4 linked regions of the Elephas maximus indicus genome follow. The protein of the gene in region 1 interacts with the protein of each later gene in a pairwise test. Links are inferred from orthologs where the notes say so. Each region holds a gene or a part of one and is shown in the gene's direction. Other genes may lie near its edges.

Region 1 (6,993 bases):
ACCACTTTTCTATTGCACTCTATTTACTGAAAAATATTTGCGTTTTCCTTCTCTAACAGGTTTCCTCCTTACACAAGTTCCAGCTTTTGCAGGCTTTACTGTGTTATTATCCCCATTTCCCAGGCAACACAGAGACCCAGATTGCGCCATCCAGTAGAGCTTTCTGCCAGTGATGGAAATGTTCTATATCTGCACTTTCCAATATGGTAGCCAATAGGCATGTGTGGCTATTTAACACATGAAACATGGAATTGTGACTGAGGAGCTAATTTTTTTTATTTTAATTAAGTTTAATTTAAACAGCCACATGTAGTTAGTGGCTACTCCATTGGACAGCACAGTTTAGAAGGCTAGTCTAATGGAGAACACACGACTAGTTTGTGGAATAGCTAGAACTAGAACCATTGTGCCTCTGGTTCCCAGCATGGTGTCTAGTACATAATGGTGGTGGTGTTTGGTGCTGTAGAGTCAGCTCCAACTCATAGCAACCTTACATATAACAGAATGAAACGTTTCCTGGTCCTGTGCCATCCTCATGATAGTACGTATGTTTGAGCCCATTATTGCAGCCACTGTGTCAATCAATCTCATAAAGGGTCTTCCTCTTTTTTGCTGACCCTCTACTTTACCAAGCAGGATGTCTTTCTCCAGGGATTGGTCCCTCCTGAAAACATGTCCAAAGCAAGAGAGATGAACTCTCGCCACACTTGCTTCTAAGGAACATTCTGGCTGTACTTCCTCCATCTCTTTTACAAAAAGCCAAGAGTCAATAATGAGCCAGATTAAGAAGCTCACACATCAGGCCGAGTGACCAGGTGGCAGCCCAGCCACTCCTGCACTTCCTCCAAAAAAGGCATGCCCAGAAGGCAGTTTTGTGCCCTAGGGGAACCCTGAGTCAGCCCTGGATTTGAACTGCACATCGACCACCTGTGGGCTTATGATTTGGGGCCACAGTCTCAAACTCTTCTGAGCCTCATTTCCTAATCTATGAAATGGTGGTAATAATAATAACACATCGTATGGTTTTTATAAGGATTAAAGGAGGTAACGATAGCACTTAGCACAAGGTAGGCATTTAACCACATTAGGGCTCCCTGTACCATACTTCTCCCTTACCCCCATGCTCAGTAGAAGTCACTCATTTCACCATCTCCACCCACAGACCCATCGTCAGGCTTGGGGTCACGAGGACAGTGTTTTCTGGGCAATTTGCAAAAGGGTGTCGGCTAAGCCATGAGGCCTGCAGGGGCTCTAGGCTGCCTAGTACGTGTAAGAGTGAGCAATACACTCAGAGAAGGAAGGAAGTTTTCTCTCTGGGTGAAGGAGGACTTGTGGTTACAGGCATCAGAGAGTGATTCAGCACCCAGAGGAAACCATGAGAGGCCTGTCAGTCATCACCCAGGCCTCCTTTGAAAACCTTTCCAAGGTGGTAGAACAGCTGGGGACCCTGAGCAAGCCCCCTTCCACCATGAGACAAGGAAGGCTGTGTGGGACCTCCCAGATGTATAAAGGGACAACCAGATCTCACTCACCCCGAACCTGTCATGCAGCACTAGAAACTCTGCTTCCAGCCCTGGCTCAGACACACCTGTTCCCCAGAGAGTGGGGGAAGACAGATAGGGAACAGAGAGTCCATGTGGCTGATACCCAGGCCTTCATGCGGCACGTCCTCCTGGGCCAACCGAAATAGAGTGGGCAGGGAAATGTGAGCCCATCGGGGAGCTGGAAATGGAGAGGGAAAAAGACACAGTCCCCCTTCTCTAAGCCAGTCCCCCTCCCCCAGGAGATGTCCTAACCTTCTCTGGCCTCCAGGCTCCAAATCCAAGCAACAGAACCTTAACACTTGACCATGAAAGGGTATGTGGGTTTGAGGAGTGGGGGTAATTACCAAATATTGAAGACCTACTGTGTGCTCTCATCCAATACTCACAACAACACTATGTGATAGGGAGTCAACTATTCAACAAATGAAGAGACCAAGGCTTAAATGACTATAGAGGCTGTAGCGCCTAGTGGTTAAGCTTATTTTTGGCATAAGGGGCTTTGACATTTGATTGTCTGGATTTCAGTTTGAAGCTTTGCCATTATTAGTTGTGTCACTCTGCCTCCCTTTTCTCATCTTTAAAGTAAGGATAAAAATAATATTTCATCAATTTGTTGGATGATCAGGTGAGTTCCTACATGTCAAGTGCTTAGATAGGAACTGGTGCAAAGTAAGAATTCAGGAAACACTGGCTCGTATTATAATTAAGGCTATTAGGCAGAGATTCAAGCTATGAGAAAACAGCAGAGACCCAATACTCTGCCTTTAATCCAGAGCCTTCCTTACTTACTCATAACCACTTCATTTCTGCAAGCTTCTTACCTTCACCCTTCCCTCACCCCAGAGCAGACGTCCCTCTTGCCATCTACTCCAACTCAGTGACTCCCCAGGGCTGGGAGTCCCCTGCACCTGTGAGACCAGTCCCTAGACTCTGCGGACCTCAATGCCAGTGAAAGGGCCCACCCATAGGCTAGCTGCTCACTTCCTGGGCTCCGGATAGCAGGTGCCTATGGTCCAAACTAGGGGGTTGGAGTCAGATTGAAGCAGTGTCTTCATTCATTCATTCATCAGATATTTATTATGTGCCAGACATTGGAATAAATACTGAGAATGCAGTAGTAAACAAGATAGACCCAGTTTCTGCCCTCATGGAACTTGCAGTTTAGGCAGCAACAACAACAGTAATAATAAACAAGCAATTATTTAATTAAGAAAGGAAACCTGGCCCGAAGGGCAATTTAGCAATTTAGGAGTGGGAATCCAGGCAGGTGATGCAGAGATGGGAGAGGAGGGTCCTCCGGAGCCCCAGCATGGGAGGGAGTGGGTCCCTGCCCTGAGAGCTTGGCAGGACTCAGCCTGGGGAGGGGTTGGGGGGCCTCTGTGGGTACCTCAATCTCTAGATGCCCGAGGTTATTTCCAGGGTTGGTTTGTTGTCTCTTGTTTTGCAAACAGTACAGCAGAGCCTCCTTCCTCCCTCCCCCTTCCCTCCAGAGGGAGGCTATTTATTCCTAGTGACAAGCCTGAAGATCCCAGGGGGGGTGGCCTCAAGAACCTGGAGAGGCACCATGTCCCTGGCAGGTGCCAGCTCTCCCTCCCAGGCACAGGGAGGAAGCCAGAGGCTCAGAAACTGCAGAAAACGGGGGAGGGTTCCCTCCCCTCCATTATTTCTGCCACTCACATCCTCACACCCCTCCTAAAAAAAAAAAAAAAAAGCCCAAAGATCATGGGGCCAAGGATTAGGGTCTCCCCTGGGCATCAAAGGTCAAAACTATTTTTGGGCACTACGGAAATCAAGGCGGGATCTCACAGTGCCAGGTTTCAGCTGGGGTTGGGGAGGTAGTTACCTCTGTTTTTGCCGCTCAGGGTTGTGGAATAAGACTCTTCGAAGGTCAGGGCACTATAGGGAGGCCCTTTCTTCACCCCCTGTTTCCGGAGAACACCTGAGTTCCCACTGACCCAGCCGTGACAGCTGAATTGACTCCATCCCCTCCTCCAGGCTGGGTTAAGGCCTCCTACACACGCTCAAGCTGAGTGTGACCCCTGGGGAAAGCCGGTAGGGGGACACAAAGAGGGCATGAGGACTCTTTGGTCTCCTAGTAGACCCTGGTCTGCGGGGTCCACTGCCTCTTGTCCGGGGTTGAATACGGCAATCCCCCGCTTGCAGCTGGGGGCACAGAAGGGGAGACAGAGAGGACAGCAAAGGCTGCAGGGAGGGGGCAGGGGTGGGGTCCCTCCCTCCGGGAAGGTTGGGAGGGCCAGGTTAGGCTGGCCTGGGGGAGGGGGGTTGGGGCTGGCTCCAGTCTGAAAGGGAGGTGGGGGCGGGGCCTGGCCCCCAGCGGCCCGCTTGGGGGACCGGGGGCGGGGTCCGCACCCTGAGGGCAGGGGGGCCCGGGGGCGGGGGCCGGGCGGGGCGGGCTCCCGCGCTCACTTCCTCGGGGAGGGGTTGGGGCCAAGCTCCCACTCGCCCACACAGTCCGTCTCCAGCCGGCAGCCTCGCCGGCAGCTCGCTCGGCCGCCGCTCGGCCCGGCCCGCAGGTAGGAGCCGCCGAGAGACGCGACCCCCGGTTCCTGTCCCCACCCTCACGGGCGCTGCGCCCCGCTGCTGCCGCCTGCTTCGAGGTGAGCTCCCCGCCGACCCGGCTCTGAATCCCAGAGCCGGGTCCCCTCCCTCGGGCCGGGGAGCGGAGACAGCCCGCACAGGGTTAAGGACAGCTGCGGCTCCCGCCCCCTGCCCAGGTCCGGCCGGGGACACCGGGCACGCTGGGAGCCGGAGGCGCTGAGCACCGGAGCGCCGGCTGTCCCGACTGGACCGCTCCCGGCCGCCTGGCGGAGCGGGGGCTGCCTCGAGAGTGGGGCGGGGGAGGGGACGAAGTTTGAAATAGAAAAGCCAGAGAGACAGACTTCGGCCTGCAGAGACCGGGAGGGTCCGAGAAACAGGCTGGCAGAAACCTCGGTGGACCGAGACACCGGGACAGAGACAGGGACATGAGCGGTTGGCTTAGGCTCCGGGTCTGCGGAGACAGACGGGCTACAGACATAATGGAAACACGGACACAGACTTGGTGTACAGAGTCACCGAGAGACGGACCCGAGATATAGGGACAGATTAGGATTTTGTGGAGCATTTTAAGAAAAGACATTCATATGACCCCGTAAACACATTGCTAGGGCCTTTGAGTGCCCTGAACTTTATGTTTCTTTAGCTTCCTGGTAAGCCCGCCTCTGGATTCACTGTCTAGCTCAGAGGGTAGAGGTGGAGACACTGAGGCTTTCTAAAGACAGACTGTGAGACCAAGATTTGAGTGTACAGAGGCAGAGATCCAGAGAGGTGGTGGCCACCACTGGGAGATAGCTAGTCAAAGACAGACACCCAAAAACATAAGGAAAGCTGCTGAAGTGTGCTGAGACAGAGAAATTATGAGCAGAGCAGAGCCAGAACTCCAGAGACTGAGATTTAATGGGAGCAGAGAGACAGGCGAGCTGACAGCTTCCAAGATAGACCCAGAGACCCAGGCCAGGAAAGATGGGGAAGCCAGGATGTGGGGAAGCAGAAGCTGAGCCAGCTGAGCCCCCCGAGGCCCAGGACCTGAGACAGTGAGATTGAGATGAAGAAGCAGCCCCACGAATACACACAGCCACCAAGGCAGCCCCAACTTATTTTTAAACTCAAGTCTTGGATGCATTGCTTCAGCCCTGGGGGACCTAGGGTGAATGAACTCTTCCTCCCCTGTCCCCAGAGCAGCTGCCAGATCCTGTGCCCCATCCCTCTTTGCCTAAGCTTCTCTGACTTCCAGGTCCCTTGGGGGAACTGAAGGGGGAAAGGAGTTTGGGATTGGTGCCTGGTAGTGGGGAGTGGGGGAGTTTGGTTTCACCCCTTAAGACTCCTGTCAACTCCTGGGAGCTGGGGGAGGTGTCTGTCCTGATCCTGACTCACAGCTGTGGGGCCCTCCTGGACAGTTGGGGGCTGGAGGGTTTGAGTGGTTGGCATGGGTAATTGGAAAGGCTTCTGGGTGTCTTCCAATCGCAGAGCTGGCAGCTGGGGGGTAAAAGGGGAGAAGAGCCAAGCTCCAGTCCTGGTGATATTACCCAGCATCTCCTGTTTCCCTGCCCTCAAATACTGACCAGCCCCTCCACCACCACCAAACCCCTTTCAAAGGATTTCCAGGGAGAGAAGCGGGAATGGGCTCCAGGCTGGGTGGCAGAGACCTGGGCTTTCTGACTACCTGAGTGATCTTGGGCATGGCCCTGCCCTGGCATTCTTATGCTCAGCTGGAGAGTGATGCCTGTCTTTTGAGGCCTGATGAGGTAGTGGGTGTGAATGCTCTTTGGGAGGGCAAAGCTGCATGCTGGTGCGCACACACCTGTGCCTCTGGGATAGGTTGCAGGCAGAGATAGGCTTGCTGGAGCAGGGTGGCTGGGCCAGAGCCACCACTAGCCCTCCTAGTCTCCTCAGCCAGCCCCATGGGCCTCAGGGCCTCTTCTATTCCCCAGCTACACTGAGAAAGTACAGTTCCCTTACCTATGTCTTAGTTATCTAGTGCCTCTATAACAGAAATATAACACAAATGGGTGGCTTTAACAAACGAATTTATTTTCTGGAAGTTTAGGAGGCTAGAAGTCCTAATTCAAGGCGCCAGCTCTAGTAGGAGACTTTCCGTTGGCTCTGGGGGAGGGTCCTAGTCTCTTCTGAGCTTGTGCTCCTGAGCAATCTTCACATGGCTTGGCACCTCTCTTCCCCCATCTCTGCTTCTAACTTATGTTTAATCTCTTTTATATCTCAAAAGAGATTGACTCAAGATACACCCTACACTAATCCCGCCTCATTAACATAAGACAACCCATTCCCCAATGGGATTATAACCATAGGCATAGAGGTTAGGATTTACAACATGTATTTTTGGGGGTCATAATTCAATCTATAACACCAGGCCTGGCTGAGAAACTGCCATCTGACCCCACTATGAAAAATGGACTAATAATAAAAAGACCAACAGCCAACATTTACTGAGTGTTTACTATCTGCCAGGAAACCCTGGTGGCATAGTGCTTAAGTGCTTTGGCTGCTAACCAAGAAGTCAGCAGTTCGAATCCACCAGGCGCCCCCTGGAAACCATGGGTCACTTCTACTCTGTCCTATAGGGTCACTATGAGTCAGAATCGACTCGATGGCAGCGGGTTTGGTTTTTTTTGTTTACTATCTACCAGGTACTTTACAAGTATCACCCCATTTAAACCTTACAACAACCCTAGGAGGTAGAGAGTTATAATTACCTCATTTTATTAGATGGGAAAATAGGCTCAGGGAGCTTAAGTGACTTGCCCAAGGTCACCCAGCTTAGTAAGTGAAGGGAGCCAGGATTCAAACCCAGATTTAAGATTTTGCTCCACACACCAAGTCTGTTATCCAGCCATTCTGAGCTCTAGGAGGTTTGCTAGGAAGTGCCAGCTGT
Region 2 (7,138 bases), on another chromosome or scaffold:
GACCACCATGACTGAAACACAACAGAAAACATGGAAGTGCCTTGAAAGGATTAGCTACCATGTGAACACAAAGGTTTGCTAATGCCTTCAAATTGAAAAGTGGAATGAGAAAGGCATGAAATCCAAGAGAGGAAAGGCTCTTCACATTTCATGTATAGACTCTTGAAAATGAGGGGTGGAGGATGCTGGATTCACAGAGGAGAGGAGTCAAAGGCACAGGAGCTGTAGTAACCTGGGGAGTGAGGGTAGGGGAAGGAGCACTTATTGTGTGCCTAATACGTGCTCAGTGCTGGGTTATCTCATTTAGTCCCCAAAACAGGGGGCACTGAAAGGGATGCAACAAGTTTCCTCATTTATACATGAGGCAACTGAGGCTCAAAGAGATGAAATAACTTGCTCAGGGTCATAGCTGAGAATCAGAGCTGAAGCTGAGATTGAAATGCAAGCCCAGCCAATCCCAAAGCCCAGTTAGAGAAATGGGGGTCCTGTGCAGATTACCTTCCCTTTGGCCACCCACCCGCTGGCTTCCAGGTGAGTGGCCAGTGAGGAGTCCCAGTAGGAGGTGGGAGGGACCAAGAGTGAATCAGGGTATCTTCTTCCCTGGCTTCCTCTCCATGGGATGGCCTAGGGTTTGCTACACCCTTCTACTGGAGGTTGAAGCTTCTCTTAAGGAATAACGACTCCCTCCCTTCACCCCTTCAAGCTTCGGGATGGCAACAGTTATGCTGTGATTATCAACCAAGGGTGATTCCCCCCTCAAAGGATATTTGGCAATATCTGGACACATCTTTGATTGTCAGGACAGGGAGGGATGCTACTGGCATGTAGCGGTCAGAAGCCAGGGATGCTGCTAAACATCCTGACAAGCAAGGTCAGCATGGTCTGAAATGTCAGCAGTACCAGAGGTTGATAAGCCCTGAGCTATGCCGTTATCACCCTGAGGCACCGCACTGTCCCTCGTTTCCTTGTACCCTGCCTATACCCTGGAAAACAGTCCCTTTATTAAATCCTCCTCAAATTATCCTAAGGTGAGTGTGCCATCTGTTTTCCTCCTGGGGCCTGACTGATAACATAGCCTTCAAAAGGAAAACCACACTTACCCTGGCACTCGCAGGGGAGGAGAGATGTAAGCCGGAAAACACCTACCTCAGACAGCCTAGCCCTTCTCCAGGTGATGCTGCAAGGCACAGCCTGGGCCTCAATCACGCAGCTGCACTCCATGGACTGCAGTGCCCCGAGGAGCTGGCCCCCGCCTTCCATCTGTAAGAGCACTGCAACAGATGGGACAGGGGCTGTCAGTGGATGGCCCGGAAAGCAGAAAACTCAGCACAGGGTGAGGTAAGAGGCAAGGAGGACCTGGATCCAGGACAGCAACGATGTGCTTTAAGCATTCCTCTGGCCTCTGGGCTTTCAGCCTGTTTGCCTGCAAGGCCTTCTTCTTCCTCTCCTGTTGCCTCAGGGTGCTTTCCTTCTGGTTCACTTGTCCCTGATGCCCGTCTTTTGCCCGGGCCTTCTGACTGTGCCTGGTTCTTTTCTGAGGCATGGGGACCTCAGAATATGTTGTTACTGTCGAGCTGTTGTCCTGGACAGGGCAGGTAGATTGGTAGGCTGGAAGCTGACGGGATGGGTTGTCTAAGATAGGATGCTTGTTATTTGAAGCGCTCCTCTCTGAGGTATCATGGAGGGGAACACCAGGGATCTCTGGAAAGGGCTGTTTTTTCCAGTCACATAATGCTCCTTCATTATTGTGGTGATCTAAGACACTTTTAACTGGGGAACTAGAGTCCTCAGGGCTTGGCTGCTGCTTGCGGGTCAAAAATTTACACTTGAGCCTCTCAGCCAGGGGAATAAATTCCTCCTCACCCTCACTTCCACTGCTTAGCACCCTGACTGGCTCTGTTTGTGTGACAGTTTCCCATGTGTCCGAGACAGGTGGTAGATCTTTCATCCCTGGTGATGGAGGGCAGGAGGCCTTAGAATCTGAGGCATTAATCACTACAATCTTCCCCTCCCTCTGAGGCTGCCATCTCTTTGAGGAAGATGGTTTCGTTTTCAGAAAGGCAAATACTGGCAACTCCTCAGAATCACTCTCACTGGAATCCACTAAGAGTGATGTTTTCCCTAGAGCCATCGCTATGTGCTGTCAAGGTAATTACCTTAAAAAAAAAAAAAAAAAAGAGATGAGACAGACTGTGGCATTCAATTTGATCCACTAAATGTGTTCTATGGCCAAGCCTTATGGAAATAAATCTGAGATACAGAGAAACAGAGAAATAGGATGTGGCCCCAACACATTTCAATCTGGAACTCAGAACAGCTATGTCTGTAGTCTGACAGGCCTTGTTATGTGCTGTCAAGTCAATCCTGACTCATGGCGACCCTTTGTGTCAGAGCAGCACTGCCCCACTGGGTCTTCTAGGCTGTAATCTTTTGGGAGCAGATCACCAGGTCTTTGCTCCTGCAGAGTGGCTGGGGGTTTGAACTGCAGGCATTTCAGTTAGCAGCCGAGCACTTGGGCTCCTTAGTCTAACAGGAACCCTCCTCAAATCCCTTCTAGGACAAGGAGTGGGTATAAACAAAGTGGAGGTTACAATTACAAAATTTTAACGGAGGTACTAACAAGACTCAACACCACCCCCTTGTTGATTTCTGCATTTGAGATGGAGATACCAAAAGTCATTTTTTTCTTTTTAGTTGAGATAAAATTCACATACCATAAAATTCATCCTTTTAAAGTGTAGACTTCAGTGCTTTTTAGTATATTCACAAGGCTGTGCAACCATCACCACTATCTAATTCCAGAACATTTTCATCACCCCAAAAAGAAACCCTATGCCCATTAGCAGTTACTCCCCATTCCTCCCTTCCTCCAGCCCCTGGTAACCACTATTTTCGGTCTCTGTGGATTTGCCTGTTCTGGGCATTTCACATAAAGTGGAATCATATAATATATGGTCTTCTGGGACTAGCTACTTTCGCTTAGCATGATGTCTTCAAGGTTCATTCATGTCGGAGCCTGTATCAGTACTTCATTGTTTTTATGGTTGAATAATATTCCATTGTGTGGGTATACTACATTTTGTTTATCCTTTCACCAGTTGATGGACATTTGGCTTGTTTCCATTTTTTGGCTATTATGAGTAATGTTGCTATGAGTATTTGTGTACAAGTTTTTGTGTGGGCATGTTTTCTTGGGTATATGCCTAGCAGTGGAATTGCTGGGTTCTATGCAAGAGTTGGAAACCCCGGTGGCGTAGTGGTTAAGAGGTACAGCTGCTAACCAATATGTAAGCAGTTCAAATCCACCAGGCGCTCCTTGGAAACTACAGGGCAGTTCTACTCTGTCCTATAGGGTCGTTAGGAGTCGGAGTTGACTGGACGGCAACAGTTTTTTTGGAGGGGGGTTTATGCAAGAGTCAGGAGTCTTGGTGGCACAATGGTTAAACGTTCTGCTGCTGACCCAGAAATCTGTGATTCGAACCCACCAGCTGTGGGATAAAAGACCTGTAAAGATTACAGCCTTGGAAACCCTATGGGGCAGTTCTACTCTGTCCTACAGGGTCGTTATGAGTGGGAATCAACTTGAAGGCACACGACATGCAAGAGTCATCTTGTAAACATTTACTAATACTATAGATGTGACCCCAGGTGAGCCATGTAACTTAATGAGCCGATTTCTTTTTCAGTAAAATCGGGAAAATAATATCTGCATAAGGTTACGACAATTAAATGAAACAACTCATCTACAGCGCTTAGTATAGTATCTGGCACACAGCAACCGCTCCATAAAGTAACCTAAATGACGAGGGAAGAAGCCTCATCTGTGCCCTCGCTGGGCCTCGGTTCACTCCTGCAAAACGAAGGAGTAGGGCAAGAGGGCACCTGCCGGGCACGCTCCGCGCCTCATGCCAGCACCAGGCCGCGGGCGTCCGCAAGTATCATCCACATGCCCTGCAGGGACCCCTGACCGCCCTGTCACAAAGCCTTCCGTTACGGGGCCCAGTAAGGAAGCCCTGGCCAGGCCAGCGTAACACTGAGCGCTCACCTGCAACTCTTGGCGCTACCCGTTCCAGTGCGGCGCAGGACCCGGAAGTAATTCTCCTGGTAGCGGAAGCAGAAGTTTTGAGATCGGAAGCTTGTGTACAGCAAACATGGCGTTGGCGGTGGCGGCGCTGAGGGCGCGGACAGCTGGTAACGGATGCTGCAGGGGCGGTGTGCAGCCCGAGCCAGGAGGCCGGGGGGTGGGGGGGTGGAGGCCATTCCCCGCGGAGGACTCTGGCCGCGCCGGGTAGTGTGCCAGGCGCAGTGCCTTGAGCGCGAGGCTTGAGGGTCGGCTATCGCAGATCACGTGACACCGCTAGGGGCCGGTACGGGGGGGGGGGTTATCAAGGAACACGTGACCTTGTGTCTCTTTTGGTGCATGCATTGCTTCCCTGGCGCTTGGTGACAAGCGTCTCTGGGTCTGTGTGGATCCTTTCATCTATCAAATAGGCTAATAATACACTGTAGCTCAAAAAGGAAATGCATTCATTCAACAGATTGAGGGCTTCTGTTGTTGGGGATCCGAACAGAACGTGAAGACAAGGTCCCTAAGCCTTGCACAGTTTTTTCTAGTGAGTGAGCCAATAAATAAGTAAATAAATAAAATTGTTGTAAATCGTGACAAGTGAAAGAAACAAAAAAATGAAAGTGTGTATCTTTTGAGATTGGGTGGTCAGGGAAGTTCTCTAAGGAGGTAATGTTTAAGTTAAGACCTAAAGGATGACAGGAGGCCTGGGTCTGTATAGCATGAGAGCCAGGAGAGTGACTTAATCCAGTTTTACATTTTGAGAATCAAATATCGGTATTGTGTGGAATTAAAGGGGATAGGAGTGGAGATGAGGAAACCAGATGGGAAACTTGTAGTAGCTCTAGAGATGATTTAGCCAAGATGGAAGAAAAATTAAAAACCCAAACCCAGTATAGGGGAGTCGATGCTGACTCATAGTGATCCTGTAGGTTGGAGTAGAGCTGTCCCATAGCATTCCCAAGGAACGGCTGGTGGATTCAAAGCGCAGACCTTTTGGTTAGCACCTGGGCCCTTACCCACTGTGCCACAGTGAACTCAGAGGGAAATGGATGTATTTGAGATCCGTTTTGAAGGTAGAATCAACAGAGCTTGCTCCTGAACTGGATATGGGAAGTGAGCAAAGAGATGGAATTTGCAGTGATTTTGTTTCCACTTGAGTAACTGGGTAGATGGTGGCACCATTTACTTTGAGGAGGATGGGGAGTAGGGTAAAGGTTTGTGAATGAGCTCATGTAGGTAAATCATAAGCCCGGTTTTTGAGTTTAGTAAGTGAGTGAATGATCGAATTAATAGGTGTTTAAAGGTAAGTAGGAAACCCTGGTGGCTAGTGGTTAAGTGCTATGGCTGCTAATCAAAAGGTTGGCAGTTTGAATCCACCAGGCCCTCCTTAGAAACTCTGTGGGGCAGTTCTAACCAGTGCTATAGGGTCACTATGAGTTGGAATTGACTCGACAGCAACGGGTTTTTGTTAAAGGTAAGTAGGCCCCAGTGCTGGGCGTTCAGCAAGTTTTCATTTATGGTCCTTTGCCCCAACTGAAAATGCTGCCGATGTAGTGGTTAAGTGTTAGGGCTGCTTACTAAAGGTCTGAAGTTCGAATCCGCCAGGCGGTCCTTGGAAGCTCTATGGGGCAGTTCGACCGTGTCATATAGAGTGGCTATGAGTCGGAATCAACTTGAAGCAGTGGGTTTGGTTTTTTGGCTTTGGTTTGCCCCAACTAGTCTCTGGTCCTGATTATGTTGTGTCTGGAGAACTGAAGGCAGGGACTGCCAGCCCTGCACTTGTCATACAGAAAGGGGTCCCATCTTGGTTAGTATGAATTTAAGTTCATTTTCCTTTTTAAAATAAATGCCATTGAGCACTTTGGAATGAGTATGGAGATATCATATTAACAAGGGCAGGCTGTTGGTTTTCTCAGTGGGACTTCTGTTTGATGGGCTTTGGGAAGAAACAGTCCAGCTTTCTGAAAATGACCAGGAGCCTGTGGGAGCTGCCCTCAGACAAGTTCCCCATTTTGTTTACAAGTACCTGGTATGTTGGTGTGCAGTGGATGGTGGATAGCTTAAAAAGGAGCCCACAATGAGTGAGGCCAAAGAAGCAGCCTCTTTCTGGGTGTCCTGTTGCTGGGCTCTGTGGTCTGGTCTTGAGGGCATAATGGTGAGTAAGGCTGAAGCAGGCTGCTCTGTGGTGTTCTCTTGCTGGCTTCTGCTATTTTTGTGGTGTTTATTTCATCTGTGCAGAACTGAATGCGTCAGGACCCAGGGCACATGGTGTTTATTTAATTTTTTCCATTTATATTTCAGTACCCCCCACACATACTTTACCCAGTGCTTATACCATAAGGAATGAGTTGTCCCCTTGGAGAAGGCCAGGGACTTCTAGACACTCCCTGAAAGTCAACACACTCAAGTGGCATTTCTGCTCCCCCGTCACATCTCCCTTACCTCCCCTCCCACCGCCTCCCCTTTCACCTCTCAGCTTAGTAAATAGCCCATTGAGGCCAAGAAAGAGCCTGATTGAGAGCCTGTCTGTCTGAACAATGTTTCTGCTACCTCTCTGTAGTTACAGCTCTGTTGAGCCCCCCTCAGGCTACAGCTCTTGCTGTCAGATATGCTTCCAAGAAGACAGGTGGAAGCTCTAAAAACCTTGGTGGAAAGTCATCTGGCAGACGCTATGGCATCAAGAAGATGGAAGGTGAGAATATGTCTTGGCTTTTGTTTCCCAGCTGCACCTACCCTGCTGCTCCTGATGTTTCTTAGAAGAGCAGAGAGACCATGCAAGTGCCTGGGCCTGTACTCTCAGTTTAGCCCACCAGAGCGGAGCGTTTGTCTTTGGAGTAAAGGGGCAGATGAGATCTGAGGAGGAGTAGGGAGCCTTGGGGAGGGGTGGGTAGGTATGAACCTTGGCTTTGTGACTAGAGAAAAGGGGGTTGGAGGACAGGGGGTTGCTTGTGTTGGACCATGTGGAAGTTGTTTCTGGTCGGGGGTGGTATGCCGCATTTGAGCCAGGAAGGTGAGAACTGTCGTGTTTTCTTAGCAGTGTGTTGTGCTGTCCCAGTAACTGGGGACCAA
Region 3 (7,620 bases), about 79 Mb from region 1:
TTGAATTTGCATATGAGCAACTGATGGTCTGTTCCACAGTCAGCCCCTGGCCTTGTTCTGACTGATAATATTGAGCTGTTCCATCATCTCTTTCCACAGATGTAGTCGGTTTGATTCCTGTGTATTCCATCTGGTGAAGTCCACGTGTATAGTTGCCATTTATGTTGGTGAAAGAAGGTATTTGCAATGAAGAAGTCATTGGTCTTGCAAAATTCTATCATTTGATCTCTGGCATGGTTTCTGTCACCAAGGCCATATTTTCCAATTACTGATCCATATTTTTTGTTTCCAACTTTCACATTCCAATCACCAGTAATTATCAATGCATCCTGATTGCATGTTCAATCAATTTAAGACTGCAGAAGTTGGCAAAAATCTTCAATTTCTTCATCTTTGGCCTTAGTGGTCAGTGTGTAAAGTTGAATTACAGTTGTATTAACTGGTCTTCTTTGTAGGTGTATGAATATTATCCTATCACTGACAGTGTTGTACTTCAGGATACATCTTGAAATGTTCTTTTTGATGATGAGTGTGATGCTATACCTCTTTGAGTTGTCATTCCCAGCAAAGTAGACTATATGATTGTCCAATTCAAAATGGCCAATACCAGTCCATTTCAGCTCACTAATGCCTAGGATATCGATGTTTATGGGTTCCATTTCATTTTTGACGATTTCCAATTTTCCTAGATTCATACTTCGTACATTCCAGGTTCCGATTATCAATGGATGTTTGCAGCTGTTTCTTCTCATTTTGAGTCTTGTCATATCAGTGAATGAAGGTCCCAAAAGCTTTACTCCATCCATGTCATTAAGGTCGACTCTACTTTGAGGAGGCAGCTCTTCCCCAGTCATCTTTTGTTTTCCAACCTGAGGGGCTCATCTTCCAGCACTATATCAGACAGTGTTCCACTGCTATGCATAAAGTTTCACTGGCTAATTTTTTCATAAATAGACCATCAGGTCCTTCTTCCTAGTCTGTCTTAGTCTGGAAGCTCAGCTGAAACCTGTCTGCCATGGGAGACTGTCTTAGTCATCTAGTGCTGCTATAACAGAAATATGAGTGAATGGCTTTGACAAAGAAAAATTAATTCTCTCATAGTTTAGTAGGCTAGACGTCTGAATTCAGGGTGCCGGCTCCAGGGGATGGCTTTCTCTCTCTCTAGGCTCTAGAGGAAGGTTCTTGTCATCAATCTTCCCTTGGTTTAGGAGCTTTTCCATGCAGGAAGCCCAGGTCCAAAGGACACGCTCTGCTCCCAGCTCCTTTTTCTTGGTGGTGTGAGGTCCCCCTGTTTCTCTGCTTGCTTCTCTCTTTTATATCTCAAAAGAGATTGGCTTAAGATGCAATCCAGTCTTGTAGACTTGAGTCCTGCCTCCTTAACATAACTGCCACTAATCCCACCTCATTAACATCACAGAGATAGGCTTTTCACATCAGGTGACAAAATGGTGGACAATCACATAATTCTGAGAATTATGGCCTAGCCAAATTGATAGGCATATTTTGGGGGGACATAATTCAATCCATAACAGTGATCCTGCTGGTATTTGAATACTGCTTGCAAAGCTTCCAGCATCACAGCAACACGCAAGCCCCCATAGTATGACAAACCGACAGACGCGTGGGGGATATGACACCAAAAAGTTAAAAAATACCAAGGGGAAGGACATGCCCCTCCTCCCCCGTCTACTGTGGGCTGGGCAGGCATCGCAGGGGAATGTGGAGCGCTGCTATTCTAGTCAGGACTGCACCCACGAAGAAAAAGGAGCTTCTATTTTAACAGGCCTCGAACCCAACCATAGTCCCTGGGTGGCGTAAATGATTAACGTGCTTGCCTGCTAACCGAAAGGTCGGAGGTTGAGTTCACCCACAGGGTCCTCAAAAGAAAGCCTGCTGATCTACTTCCAAAAAATCAGCCACTGAAAGGCCTACGGAGCACGGTTCTACTCTGATACACAGGGGCTTGCCACGAGTTGGCGTCGACGCCTTGGCAACTGGCTACCCCAATCTTGGCCCCAGCCACGGCATCTACATTCCAAACACCCCAGAACGCAAAGGCCCGGCACGCTCCCTGCCAACCCCGGCATCCTTTCAGGCACTAGGACCTAGTCTTCTCCCTGGTGCCCAGTTGTGTGGGCAGACATTTGTGGGCGCAGCTCTGAGCTCTGCCCAGACTCCAGGTGATACTTCCTTCTGGGCCTTGCTGCTATGGGAGAAAATGGACCCCTAACTGGGACCAGAGAAACCAAACCCAACAGCAGCTTCCTTTTCAGGGTCAAAGGGTCAAAGCTTCAAGTACAAGTGTGAGATTTTTGCTACTTTAATGAAAGCAGGCAGCACGTATTTAATCCCAGGGCCCTGCTGGTTGGCACACCAAACCAGGCCTCCCTACCTATCAGGGCTTCTCCCTGGGGTGATGCTGCCCCCAGGGGACACTGGGCAATGTCTGGGGATATTTGTGGTTGTCATGACTGAGGGGGTGCTACTGGTGTCAAGTGGGTGAAGGCCAGGGATGCTGCTCAACACCCTGCAGTGGACAGAACGGTCCCAACCTAGAGAAGGATCCAGCCCCCATGTCAGCAGTGCTGAGGGAGAGAGACCCTGGTAAATATTAATAAAGGGCAAAGCAGATGGACGCCCCCATGCCACCTCCCCCAGGCTCTGTCTGAGGGGGAGGAGCTGTCTTTTCTGCTCTCAGGTCGCCCGGCCTCACTGGGCTCTCCACTGTCCCCAGACCCTGGGGCAGGTGGCTGAGTGGGTGTGGTCCCTGGCCAGCCTTCTTCTGGCCCCCCAATGTTGACACCCCCCCAGTTTACTCTTTGACTCCCCCTCCTTTAGCTACGCCCCCTTTGGGAGAATTAATTTAGTCTCAGGGTGGGAAGCAGGAAGCTTTGCTCATCCTGTTTTGTCTCCTCACTTATCCTCAGGAACGGGGCTGTGCTTTCAAAAACAAAACGGAGGATTTTGATATCAGAAGCCTTGTTTCTGGCCAGAGGGACAGTGGTTAAAGGGAAAGGGAGTGATTTCTCACCACGCTTGATAGTTTTTAACCTGGCCTTGCATTCCACTTACAGGCACCTTGAAGCCACCAGTCTGTCCCTCCCGTGGGAGCTCTTGTAGAAGGTGGGAGCCACAGACCGTTGCTGAGTGAGGGAAGGCACAGCTTTGGCTGATCCAGGGAGGTGAATTTAGACCCAGGAAGACGCTGTTCTGCCCGCAGTCCCTGGACATTTCCCGCTGCACTGGCTCCTTAGCCTCCACCAAGGTCTTCCTCTTTCCTCAGCGCTGGATTCCGCAGTGCAGGCTTTGGGTTCTGGAGAGATCCGACCTTTGCAATCTTGGGCCAGTGACCTCGCTTCTCTGAACCTATTTTCCTCTCAGTGTAGTGGGAGTGACGGTAACAAAACCCACCAAAGGACAGACTTGGGAAGACGCAGCGGGATGTGCGGACAAGGCCTCGGTCTGACGTTAACGCCTGGAGAAGCCACCGCGCGCTTGAGTGGGGCGACATCTTGTGGTCGCTCTAGGTACTGCTGCCTCCTTCCCTCGCTCAGCGGCTGGTTACTGCGCGAGCCGGCGTGGAGCTTCGACTCTAATAGGGTAAAAAGACAATAAATATGTTAAAAAAGGAATATGCAATTCCACGCCTAACTATAATATAATGTTTCCCATACGGCTTTCACCTCTGAGAAATGTCTCTTCATGTCTTGTGCCTAATTTTTACTTGGTTCATCATTTTTCTTACTGATATATACGAATTATTTGTGTGTTACGGGTACTTATCAGCTATGTATGTGACAAATACTGTCTTCAGATTTGTGATTTGTCTGTTCATTTTGTTTAGGTATCTTTTGATTATCAGAAGTGTTTAAATTTAATATGGATGAATTTAGCAATAATTCATGGTCGGCATTTTTTGTGTCTCTTAAAAAAAAAATCCTTCCCTGCCCCGAGGGCAGAAAGATTTAAAAAAAAAAAAAAGGTGCTGTTGAGTTGATTCTGACCCATGGCGACCCCATGTGTTACAGAGTGGAACTGCTCCAGGCCTTTCTCCCGCAGTGCCACGGAGTGGTTTCGAACCACCAACCTTTAGGTTCTCATCTGAGTGCCACATGTTTGTACCACTCCACCTTAATTTTTTCTGTAAGTTTTAGAGTTTTATTTTGACATTCAAATCTGAATCCATTTGGGTTGAGCGGAGCGTTTTCTGTTGCAGCCCGTAGGGAAGCGGCAGTGAGTAGCTCACCTCAGCCGCTGGTCTCAGGAGACAACTTTCTGGAAGACAGAGACAGACACTGAGGAAGAAAAACCTGTGACATTGTTTAGGCAATGCCAAATGCCATGGAGAAATCAAGCAAGAAGCTGGGATGCAGAGAGACAGATGAGGGAGTGGCTGCCTCCCTGAGGCCAGTGAGGCTGGAGGGGAGAGCGAGGCCGAGGTGGAGGTCTGAGCTCCAGGCCACAGAGGAGTTTCAGTCCTGTGCGGGTGGCTGGACAGTGCACAGGTCAGAATGCCCCAAGAATGTGCTGGGACATTCTCCTGTTGCCATGACGACGGCAGAGCCACTTGGGTTTTGAGGGAGGAAGGCGCAAGGCCAGGAGGTCCCATGGGGGACCACAGGCCGAGTTTGACCAGCAACAACCATGTCGCTGAGGCTGCGAGTGAGGCAGAAATGAAACAGGACCGTGATGTCCTGGGCTTCCAGGACTCCGCCAACGAGAGCCAGGGGGCCCTGGACCCCAAGTACCAGGACCCCGACGATGCTGCGCTGGGACTGGGGGACAACGAGGAGGACATTCCCCTAGAGGAGGTGGCCGGAGAGGAAGTCCTCCAGGGCCAGGAGGCGGAGGAGGCACTTTCCAATCTGGAGAGGGTCCTGCAGAAAGACGTGGAGGAGGACGAGGACGTTCCTGAAGTGAGGTAGGCGGGGGAGGGGGCAACAGGGGAGTACAGGGCAGCGGGGGGCGGGGAGTATGGGGCACCGGGGGTACCGGGGCAGCGGGGGCGGGGAACAGGGAAGCCATGGGAGTAGGGGCAACGGGGGGGGGACGGGGGAGGGGAGATGGGGAAGGGAGGGCTGGGCAGTGGGGGAGGGATGGAGCAGTGGGGGGGGAGTGGGGCAGCGGGGTGCAGCGGGATGTAGCAGTGGGGGGGCACAGGGCAGTGGGGGGACACGGAGAAGGAGCACCAGCTCCACACCCATGACAACCAGACCGCATCTCCTGGATACCAGAAGGAGGCTGAGCTGCCTCCTGGGGCCTCTGAATGTGGTTCTGGGAATGAAGGCCATAGGCCCAGGTGACAGCACCTCCACTAGCCTTTGAGGCAAAAGTGGGAGAACACAGCCCCCTGTTCACTAGGTGGCCAATGGTAGAGTCTGCAGACAGCATTCAGATGCCAGAGGGGAGAGGTTAGAGCGAGGGGTCCTGGTTCAGTTCCACCTTCGGGGCCTGGTATACAGTAGGTGCTTGATAAATGTTTGCGAGATAGTGAACATTACCTTATTCAATCACAACCACACTCCTGGAAGATGGGACCCATTCTCACATCCACCTCAGAGGGGAGGGAGCTGAGGCTTGGGCAGTCAGGTGACAAGACCAAGCCCACATACCCAAGTCCTCTTGACCCCAGAATGCTGCCCCAAAGAGGTGCCTTTGAGGGAGAAGACTCACTTAGGTGGGGTGAGAGCAGATTCAAGATGCTTGAGCAAGACCTAAAAGTGGCTCTGGGCTCCCCAACATGTTGGGGAGAAAATCCTGCTCCAAGCCTGCTCTGATTCTCCCAAAGCCGGCTGTCCATCAGCCACGAGTGGCCAGTGCCCAGAGGGAGGAAGAAGAGGAGGGTCTTCGATTTGGCAAGACCCAAGACCAACTGGCAAGTCTTGAAAGACAGGTGAGGGCATGCCAGTTAGAGGCCTGGGGGAGCGAGCTGGGGAAGTGCCCCCCCGGGGTCCCCTCTGCATCTTCCCAGGCCCTCCCCAGGTTCCCACCCATGACAGAGTTAGGGTAGGTGGGGACCAGGCAGTTAGGAAGGGTGCTGAGGGAGGATAAGCAGTTAAGATACTGGAGGTGGGGCTCGTTGGGGGGCAGGTGCCCCTGGTGGGTGTCCAGGAGATTTGGGAGTGTGGGCCCAAGGCGAGCCCCAGAGCAGAGGGCAGTGGGGGCTGGACCTTCTCATCGCAGGGTGGGCTGCTGCCAGGGCTATGCCTGGATTTCCCCTTGCAACATGACCTTGCACTTCTCCCTCTATTGGTAAGTGCTGTCCCTCCCCACCCCCATCCCGTGGGGGAACGTGCCAGGTTCCCGGGGTCACTCTGCTGGAGCCACCCCCTTCTCTTCCCCAGGGCAAGGATGGAGGCTCACTCTCCTCAGGGCCATTCCTCACCCCAAGGGGGCCGACTTTCATGATTCGTCCCTGTTCTTAGTTACACCTCCACCCCCCCTCCCCCGCCCCGCAAACAGGGCCTTTGCTCACAATAACATACAACCCATGGGGCTGAGACACTCTCCCCACTGTCCTCTCTGACCTGCCCCCGCCCCTCATTTGGAGCTGCTCCCCTTCCTGCCCCTTCTCCCCTGTCACTGTCCCCCATTCTGTGGGTATGTGCGGGGAGCCCCTGAGCTTCTGTTTCCGAGCAGAGCACCCCATGCCTCCCTCCCACTGGGCTGTGCTGGTGTATTCCAGGCCATCTGTATACTGGACAGAGAGGTTTCTCCAGGATACCACCTTATCTATCACAGTGCCAGGTAAGAAGGGTGCACCTGGTGTCAACCATCGCCTTGTGGGGTGGGGTCCTAGAAGGGGTACTGCCTATCCCCACCGTGGGCCCAACCTAGGTGCCCAGGACCTCGGGGGTCTTTGCACCTGCCCGTTTCCTGCCTCTAGGAGTCTGTCTTAGTCGTCTATTGCTGCTATAACAGAAATACTGCAAGTGGACGGCTTTTTAAAAATTTTTATTGTGCTTTAAGTGAAAGTTTACAAATCAAGTCGGACTCTCATACAAAAATCTATAAACACCTTGCTATATACTCCTAATTGCTCTCCCCCTAATGAGGCAGCACACTGCTTCCCTCCACTCTCTCTTTTTGTGTCCATTCCGCCACCTTCTGACCCCCTCTACCCCCTCATCTCCCCTTCAGACAGGAGATGCCCACATAGTCTCATCAGTCTACTTGATCCAAGAAGCTCACTCTTCACCAGTATCATTTTCTATCCCATAGTCCAGTCCAATCCCTGTCTGAAGAGCTGGCTTTGGGAATGGTTCTGGTTTGGGGCCAACAGAAGGTCTGGGGACCATGAACTCTGGGATCATTCTAGTCTCAGTCAGACTATTAAGTCTGCTCTTTTTACGAGAATTTGGGGTATGCATCCCACTGTTCTCCTGCTCCCTCAGGGGTTCTCTGTTGTGTTCCCTGTCAGGGCAGTCATCGGTTGTAGCTGGGCACCATCTAGTTCTTCTGGTCTCAGGATGATGTAGTCTCTGGTTTATGTGGCCCTTTCTGATTTTTAGGCTCATAATCACCTTGTGTCTTTAGTGTTCTTCATTCTCCTTTGCTCCAGGTGGGTTGAGACCAGTTGATGCATCTTGGATGGCTGCTTGCTAGTTTTTAAGACCCCAG
Region 4 (7,883 bases), on another chromosome or scaffold:
TCCGACCTCCAGAACTATGAGAATAAATTTGTGTTGTTTTAAGCTAGTAGATTTGTGGTAATTTGTTACAGCAGCAATAGGAAGCTAATATACCACAGTTCGGGACTTAGCTCATATCCAATAAACTACCTGGGCCTTGTTCATGACATTTTATATAATAGATTCTCAACAAATATTAATCAAATTGAATTGAGTCCTCTTCAAAAAAAAAAAAAACAACTTTAATGTAAACAATACTTTACCAAAGTATAATTTTCAAAAAGTTAAAAACATGACTCTTATTCACATATACTGTGAGCATATGCCAAACATTCATTTAACTCATCAACGAGAGAACCAGCAGGATGGCAAAGCTGGTTCAAAAGAAGATATAAGAAACTATGAACTATATACACAATGAGTCAAAAAATGCTCCAATAAGACTCAAAAGTTAAATGACTAATGTCCTGCAGGGCAATAAAACTGGCCCCTTTGGGATTATCTTTTCTACCAAGATGAAATTATCTCTACTGAAAAAAGTAATTTGCAACATGTCAACCTTCTATAAGTTAACATGGAACTTTACAGAGTCTGAGACCTCATTAACAGCAAATAGTAAGTCAAACACAGTTCCCTTCCCCTGGAACTTCAAATGATCCTTAGGCAGGCTTGTCAGGTAATGCTTTGTTATGACATTGAAAGAGAGTACACAATAATCTTTTTCCCCCTCATTTCCAAGTTTTGTATAATTTTTCTAAACAGACTTGTTCCAGTCATCTATTCCTGAGTAATAAATTACTCCAGATTTTGTTGTTGAAAATCACATTTTGTGCGTCAGGAATTTGGGCAAGGCTTGGATGAGTAATTCTTCTGCTGTGCTTGGTGTCAAATGGGGTCACTCAATAGTCAGTTGGCAGCTTAGCTGGTATGGAGAGTCCAAGACAGCTTCACTCAGATGCCTGCTGTCTTGACCAGAGTTGTTGGTAAATTAGATTCTGCTGGGCAGTTCTCCTTCTCTGTATAGTCTCAGGGCTTTTATGATCCTTGCAGCAAGATAACTGAGTATCTTGTATGGACTCACACTGCCAATCTTCTTAAAGACTAGATCCAGAAGTGGCATGGCATCACTTCTCCCATCCTTCATTGGTCAAAGTCCAGTTCAGATTCAAGGAGAAGGGCTCACAGAACGCACCTCTTAAGGGCAGTACTGTCAAAGCATTTGAGGCCATGTTTAATCCATCACAAGCTATGTTTTGTAAATTTCGATTTTCATTATTTGGGTAATCCTTTTTGTCCTAACATCTATTGCACCAAGGGTCCCCATTACCTTCTGGAAGGTTCACCACAGATTTCTTGGTTACATGAAAAATGACCCAGCGGCCACTCCAGAACTCTTCTTCTCCTTCTCTGTAGCCCTCTGCAAGCACTCACAGGCAATGCTTTCAGAGCAATGGTTCTCATAGTACTGGACCCAGCAGCATCAGCATCACCTGAATGCGAAGCTCTGGGGGTGGCATCTAGCAGTTTGTGTTTTAACAAGCCCTCTTGGTGATTCAGAGGCATCCTAAAGTTTGAGAATCACTATTTAGAGATGTATGTTACTTAATAAAAATTATTATCATTTGAAACTAGTCCCACAAGAATTCACAGAGCCTGTAAATAACACAATGGGTTATTTACAGCTTCTGGGGAAAGGACACAATGATGCCAAATAAAGCCTGGTGTAGTGGTTTTCTCTAATAGATGGCCTCTCTCAGTTATCAAAAGCCTCTTCCACCAACCTGGAATTTAGGAGACAGCTCTCTTCTTCCACCCACTCAAGGGATACTCTCAGCAGGGCCATACTTTATTTCTAAAGAATCTCTTGTGAAAAGAACTAGTGCCTTCTCCATCTTATAAAATCCCAGTAAACCACTCAAAAAAATTTTTCTCTTCAAGGGAATCCCATAATCTCCCTCATAGACCAGTGTCTTAGAGAAAAAAGGGGAATTTTTTTTTTATTATATGAAGAAGAACTCGGCATCAGGATTGGAGGGAGACTTGTTAACAACATGTAATATGCAGATAACATAAACTTGCTTGTTGAAAGTGAAGAGGACTTCAAGCACTTATTGATGAAGATGAAAAACTATAGCCTTCAGTATGGATTACATCTCAACATAAAGAAAACAAAAATCCTCACAACTGGACCAATAAGCAACAAAGAAAATACTGAAGTTGTCAAGGATGTCATTTTACTTGAATCAATAATCAACGTCCATGGAGGCAAAAGACAAGAAATCAAACAATAGATTGGATTGGCAAATCTGCAAATGACCTCTCAAAAGTGTTAAAAAGCAAAAATGTCACTTTGAGGACCAAGGTGCACCTGACTCAAGCCATGATATTTTCAATTGCCTCATACGCACGTGAAAGCTGGACAATGAATAAAGAAGACTGAAGAACTGACGACTCTGAATTACAGTGTTGGCGAAGAATACTGAATATACCATGGACTGGCAGAAAAAATAAATCTATCTTTGAAGAAGCACAGCCAGAATGCTCCTTAGAAGTGAGAAGCGAGAGATTCGGTCTCACTTGCTTTGGGTGTGTTATCAGGAGGGACCAACCCTTAGAGGTGGACATCATGCTTAGCAGAGGGTCAGTGAAAAAGAGGAAGATTCTTAATGAGATAAGTTGATACAGTGGCTGCAACAATGGGCTTCAACATATCTACCATTGAGGATGGCACAGGACCAGGCAATGTTTCCTTCTGTTACACACAGGGTCCCTATGAGTCGGGACTGGATGGCAACTAACAACGAAAGGGGATCTTATAATCTCCTTATAGACAGGTGTTTCATGAGAGAAAACAGGAATTTTTGTTGATCTTCTCTATATCTTGTTTCCTATTTTCTTAATTTCTGCTTTTATCTTCATTCTTTCTTTCCTTGGGTTTATCCTATAGTTCTTATTTTCAGGCTTCTCTAATTTCTTATATAAGCTGCTTTACCTATATCCTAAAAGTTTTGGCATGTTGCATTTATCATTCATTTCTAAGTATTTTTGACTTTCTATTGTGTTGTCTTAATTGGTCCATGAATTAGAGGTTTTATTTTAATTTTTTAATTTCTGAAAGTATAGGGTTTTTTTCTAACCTATTTTTAATATAATAATGAGAAAATATGGTGTGCAATATCAAGAATCAGAAAGCTTTTTTGCAAAGAGCCAGATAATAAATATTTTCAGCTTTGCAGGCAATATAATCCTCATTGTAAGTACTCAATTCTGCCATTGTAGCACTAAAGCAGGCAAAAACAGTATGTGAATAAATGAGTGCAGCTGAATTTCAGTAAAACTTTATTTATTAAAACAGGCAGCTGCCCAGATTCGACCTATCGGCCATAGTATACTATCTCCTAGTCTACCATTTCGGTGTTAACTGTTGAGACATGCTGTTACCCAGTACACGAAATTTTGTAAAGTTCTATGCATGCTTGAAAACCAATTATCGTGCTATCCCAGGCCTGCTTGCACTTCTTAAGGTTCAGGCCTGGCCCAGGTAAACATTTGCTTTTATCCTGACACAGTGATCGAGAGATTGGGCTTTTGGAATCAGAGAGACCCAGGCTACCCCTACCTACTTAGCCACTGGGTGACCTGGGGCAAATTACTGAACCTCTCTAATCCTCAGTTTTCTCATTTATAGAATGGACAAAATAATAGTATGTACCTCATGGGGTTGACATAAGGATTCAATGAGATAAGGACTATGTAGAGCACCTAGCAGAATGCCAGGCAGGCTTCAACCATTATTAGTAGTAGTAGGTTCAATCATTGTGTCATCGAATCACTTACTCCATCCAACAAACAGGTATAATTATACCCATTTTACAATCAAAGAAACTAAGGCACAGAGAAGTTCAGATTAACTTGCCCAATATCTCTTAGCCAGTATCAAAGCATTGATTCTCACCCTGAACTACTATTCCCAAATGCAACGTTCCCCATACTCAGGCTGATTAATCCGGTCACACTAACAAGTGAGGAATTTACTATACGCCACTCCTAGGCGAGGCTGCATTTTAAGAGACACCCAGAGAAAGGAGTTGAGAAAAGGGTTGCGAAACGCACAAGAATTAATTCCCAGTCGTGCAAGTTTAGTCCTTTACGAGGAAAGAGATGGTTCAGTAAAGACAAACGGGATTAAAGAGCAGTAAGCAGCCACCAGACTTTGGAAGCTGGGTGCCAAGGTTTATAACCCGGACAAAGTCTTTTCTGGACTTGATCCTCTAACGGAGCGGTGTCACCCAGCGGCGCCCCCAGGCTCCTCGGCCTCCATGACCTTGCTGTCGTCCCACCAGGAAGGGAAACGGCGGGGCTGCCCTCTGCGGTTCTCCACGTGCCCGAAGCGCCCGGCGCCTAAAAATACCACCCTAATTCAACCGCCGGAACATGCCTTCGGCTTTTTACAAAACGGGGCAGTCATCACTTGAAACCACATAAATCACAGCCCTGGGCTGCTGTTGATTCTGCGGGTAATGCGCCGCTGACAGTGAGACACATTCTGCCCTTTACGATGACTATGAATTTATCTTTTCGCTCTCTGCTTGGCGCAGATCGTATCGTGAGGACACCGAGCAGTTGGGGAAGCTCCATTTCTCCCAGCCCAGACTAAACCCGGGGCCCTTCACAGCCATATCCTGTGACAATCACACGGGTTTCCTCCGCCCCGCAGCTGACGGAAAACTCGTGACTGTCTTTCAGCTCCGAGGTGAGCGCGGGGCGGGCAAGCAGAAACAGGGGGCGGAGCTGCAAGTCCCCGACTCGCAGGACGCCCCCGATGGGCAGCGCCTGCGCAGTCTCTCGCCACGGGACCTCCTTCCCGCCGCCAAGACTAGGAAGCGGGACGCCAAATCTGTCCCTGCGCAGCCGCCGCCGCCCTGCGCCCAGCGGGGCGGCCGCCCTCCCCCAGGCGCGCCTGCGCACGTTCCCACGCACGCTCCGGGCGTACGGCGGCGGCCAGGGGTCGCGAGCCGGTGGAGGACCCGCTCGCGGAGAAGCCCGGAGAGTCAGCGTTTCTTCCCTCCCTCCCCTACTCCCCTCCCCGCTCCCTCCCCCCCCTTCCCAAGAATGTTCCGCTACGAGGTGAGCTGTTGCGGCCGGAAGTGACCCCTCCCTCCCTCACGCGCCCCTCTTCCTCTCGCCCCCCCCCCGGGCGCGTCCGTCCCGCGCTCCTGGGTGGGGGTTAGGGGACAGGTGGCGGGAGCCGCGGGACAGCGGAGCACCACCACCGGGGGTCATCGGTCTAATCCGAGGGCTGTGAGCCGGTCTCGGGGGGTCGGGACTGCCCCATCAATTCCGCTGGGGAGAGCTGGCCTCTGTTTTGCGGTGGGGAGGACCCGTTAACCGCTGTAACCAGACTCCTCCACCTCTGTCCCGGGAGGAGCCCAGGAGGGGACCGGTGTGCATCAACCCCGTGACCATTCCTGAGGAGGTAGAGTCACCCGGGGACGCCCAGAGACGCGTTTCCCGCCCTGGAGTCTGCACCTCTTCTCCCCCGGTTACTGACACTCACCCATACACACTTAACAACCACCCGGTCAGGGGAGCGGGGACTTGCCGTTTGACTGGGGCCCTGACTGTTTACTAATGAGAGCCCAGAGTTGGGAGGGGGGCGTGTCCAGCAGAAGTTTTCTTGAGTGGAGGGAGACCTGGGTTTGGTGACGGATGCCGGGAATGTAGCAATAGTTCTGACCGTGTCACTAACCCACTGTGTGACCTTCAGTGACTCCTTATTTTTGGGCAAAGGTTTCTGTATTTGTGAATGAAAGGCTTGTCTGGATTCTTTGTGATTCAGAAAGGCGGTGATTTGGTTAAGTAGATCTCTGTGATTTGGAAGGGCGTGCTGCTGGAAGTTGCCTCTGATGTGGAGGGAATTGCATGTCTGCTTTATATAAGTTTGGGAGGACTTAGAGATGGGTAGAGTGGCCCTTTGGCCTAATCATTCCTTTAGGAACAGCGTAGCTAAGAGGTAGCCAGGCAAGATCATTGTCAACCTACTTACTGAGAGATTGTGACATTCCAGTTCGGAGCCTTTGGAAATTGTGAACAGATGAGCTCCATACTTGATGGGAGAGGTCCTAGACCAAACTGATCTTATGTAAACATAAAGAGATGATGGGATAAAGTGGGCAGAAGTTGCCAAAAGAAAACATGGAGAATAAATCTATTGAAGAGTGAAGTGGAAGGGGAAAATGTTTAAAATGGAGCACCAAAACCGATACAGTGATATCTAGCATTTGTTCAGCAGCCCATTGCTACTGCTTTTGATGCTAACAACTCTCCAAGATAGGTGATACTGTACCTGCACTGCAGTTTAAGAGACTGAGGCTTAGAGCCTGAAACATCATAGGTACTCAGTCAGAAAGAACATGACTTGTGGGACCGGAACTTGAATTTGCCATGTTGCAGCTTTTTCAGAATTCACTTACTGGTTGAAAATTTAGCCTTCTGTTTTGTCACTAGAATTTGAGCCTGTAGAAAAAAGAAGAGAGAAGGATGGAAAATGCAGAGAAAGCTTTACAAGAGAGTAGCAGTTGAAAAACACAGCATGGATGTAATAAGGAAAATGAGATTTTGGTTGAAAAAAGATGTATAATACTCAAGCAAAATAATGAAGCATTTATTTTCATTCTCATTTTACTCCAACCAGTGATGTAAAGAAAGTTTCAGGCCTAATTTCTGGTTACGTGGGGAAATGTTACTATTAAATTCTTGATAAATTAAAGAAATGAAACACTTGGGAAGCAAGATTAAATGAAGTAAGGAACAGGAAATAGTAAATGAAAGAAAGGAGGATACTGGAATCTTCCAAGTCAGGCAAATTGGGAAGTGGAGGAAATGCCATCTTCACAAAAAGTCATAGTAAGGCTATTATGATCATTGGGAAGAGAAAATGAACATTTTTAAAACAAGGATGTAAACTTGATGAATAGCTAATACCTTTTCTCCTCTTTTTCAGTCTTTGGAGGATTGTCCTCTAGATGAAGATGAAGATGCATTTCAGGGCCTAGGAGAGGAAGATGAAGAGATTGATCAGTTCAATGATGATACATTCGGGTCAGGTGCAGTTGGTAAGTGGCATCTTTCTTTCTCATATCATCTTGGTCTCTTACTCCTTTATCAGTGCTTTGTCTTCATAGTAGACCTTCATTCGCTAATTTGGCAAGACATCTTCTATTCTTAGAATAGTTCGGTCTTCACTAGAAGCATCTACCCTCCTCCTCTGGGCCTCTTTTTGCCTCACTTTTTTTTTAATAAAACCAGGTATTCTCTAAGGCCTGTCCCTTCTAGCTATATGACCTATAGCTCAAGGTTGACAGTATATAGTTACAGAAGTAGACATTTGAAAGAGGTTTGAAATAATCCTAGAAGAGAGAAATTTTTATGTGTAGAACACATAACTTAAGTGAAGGGAATATACAGCGAACTAGAAGAAAATTCAGGTTCTGGGGTATGTGTGAGTTTCTTTTAAAATTCAGTCTATCAGTAACATATTGCTTGGCCTCACTGTTGTCTTATATTATTTTTAATAAAATAGAAGCTTTTTATCCCAAGGAAACCCTGGTGGCATAATAGTTAAGAGCAATGGCTGCTAACCAAAAAGGTCCACGGTTCAAATCTACCAGGCGCTGCTAGGAAACTCCATTGGGCAGCTCTACTCTGACCTGTAGGGTCACTGTGAGTCAGAATCGACTCAACAGCAATGGTTTGGTCTTTTTTTTTTTTTAATCCCAAAGAATGCTGACGATAAGATTTCATGAGTTTAAAAAAAAGTTTTGTACGCAAATGAAATTTTTCCATGTTTGTTTATAGAATAAATATTTTTAGAATTGGAAAAAGTCAAAGAACCAGATTAAACT

The links.
Region 2: the proteins of FHL3 (region 1) and MRPL27 interact in binary tests that used the Homo sapiens proteins (3 or more experiments, as listed by UniProt). The two-hybrid records come from large-scale screens. The link is inferred for Elephas maximus indicus from reciprocal best matches to the Homo sapiens genes FHL3 and MRPL27.
Region 3: the proteins of FHL3 (region 1) and THEG interact in binary tests that used the Homo sapiens proteins (3 or more experiments, as listed by UniProt). The two-hybrid records come from large-scale screens. The link is inferred for Elephas maximus indicus from reciprocal best matches to the Homo sapiens genes FHL3 and SPMAP2.
Region 4: the proteins of FHL3 (region 1) and PATL1 interact in binary tests that used the Homo sapiens proteins (3 or more experiments, as listed by UniProt). The two-hybrid records come from large-scale screens. The link is inferred for Elephas maximus indicus from reciprocal best matches to the Homo sapiens genes FHL3 and PATL1.

Annotation. Positions count from the first base shown.
Region 1 is NC_064821.1:79,579,912-79,586,904, reverse strand, and holds the start of FHL3 (four and a half LIM domains protein 3), read left to right. Parts: upstream 1-3,991; 5' UTR 3,992-4,162; intron 4,163-6,993. UniProt on the Homo sapiens protein: Recruited by SOX15 to FOXK1 promoters where it acts as a transcriptional coactivator of FOXK1.
Region 2 is NC_064837.1:43,281,610-43,288,747, forward strand, and holds the start of MRPL27 (39S ribosomal protein L27, mitochondrial), read left to right. Parts: upstream 1-4,119; 5' UTR 4,120-4,151; coding exon 4,152-4,191; exon of another isoform or gene 4,192-4,227; intron 4,228-6,629; coding exon 6,630-6,761; intron 6,762-7,138. Other genes in the region: crossover junction endonuclease EME1, read right to left, coding at 1,147-1,271, 1,357-2,131.
Region 3 is NC_064821.1:158,809-166,428, reverse strand, and holds the start of THEG (testicular haploid expressed gene protein), read left to right. Parts: upstream 1-4,607; coding exon 4,608-4,921; intron 4,922-5,788; coding exon 5,789-5,893; intron 5,894-6,183; coding exon 6,184-6,252; intron 6,253-6,685; coding exon 6,686-6,747; intron 6,748-7,620. UniProt on the Homo sapiens protein: May be involved (but not essential) in spermatogenesis.
Region 4 is NC_064825.1:122,446,810-122,454,692, reverse strand, and holds the start of PATL1 (protein PAT1 homolog 1), read left to right. Parts: upstream 1-4,865; 5' UTR 4,866-5,091; coding exon 5,092-5,106; intron 5,107-6,982; coding exon 6,983-7,094; intron 7,095-7,883. UniProt on the Homo sapiens protein: RNA-binding protein involved in deadenylation-dependent decapping of mRNAs, leading to the degradation of mRNAs. Acts as a scaffold protein that connects deadenylation and decapping machinery.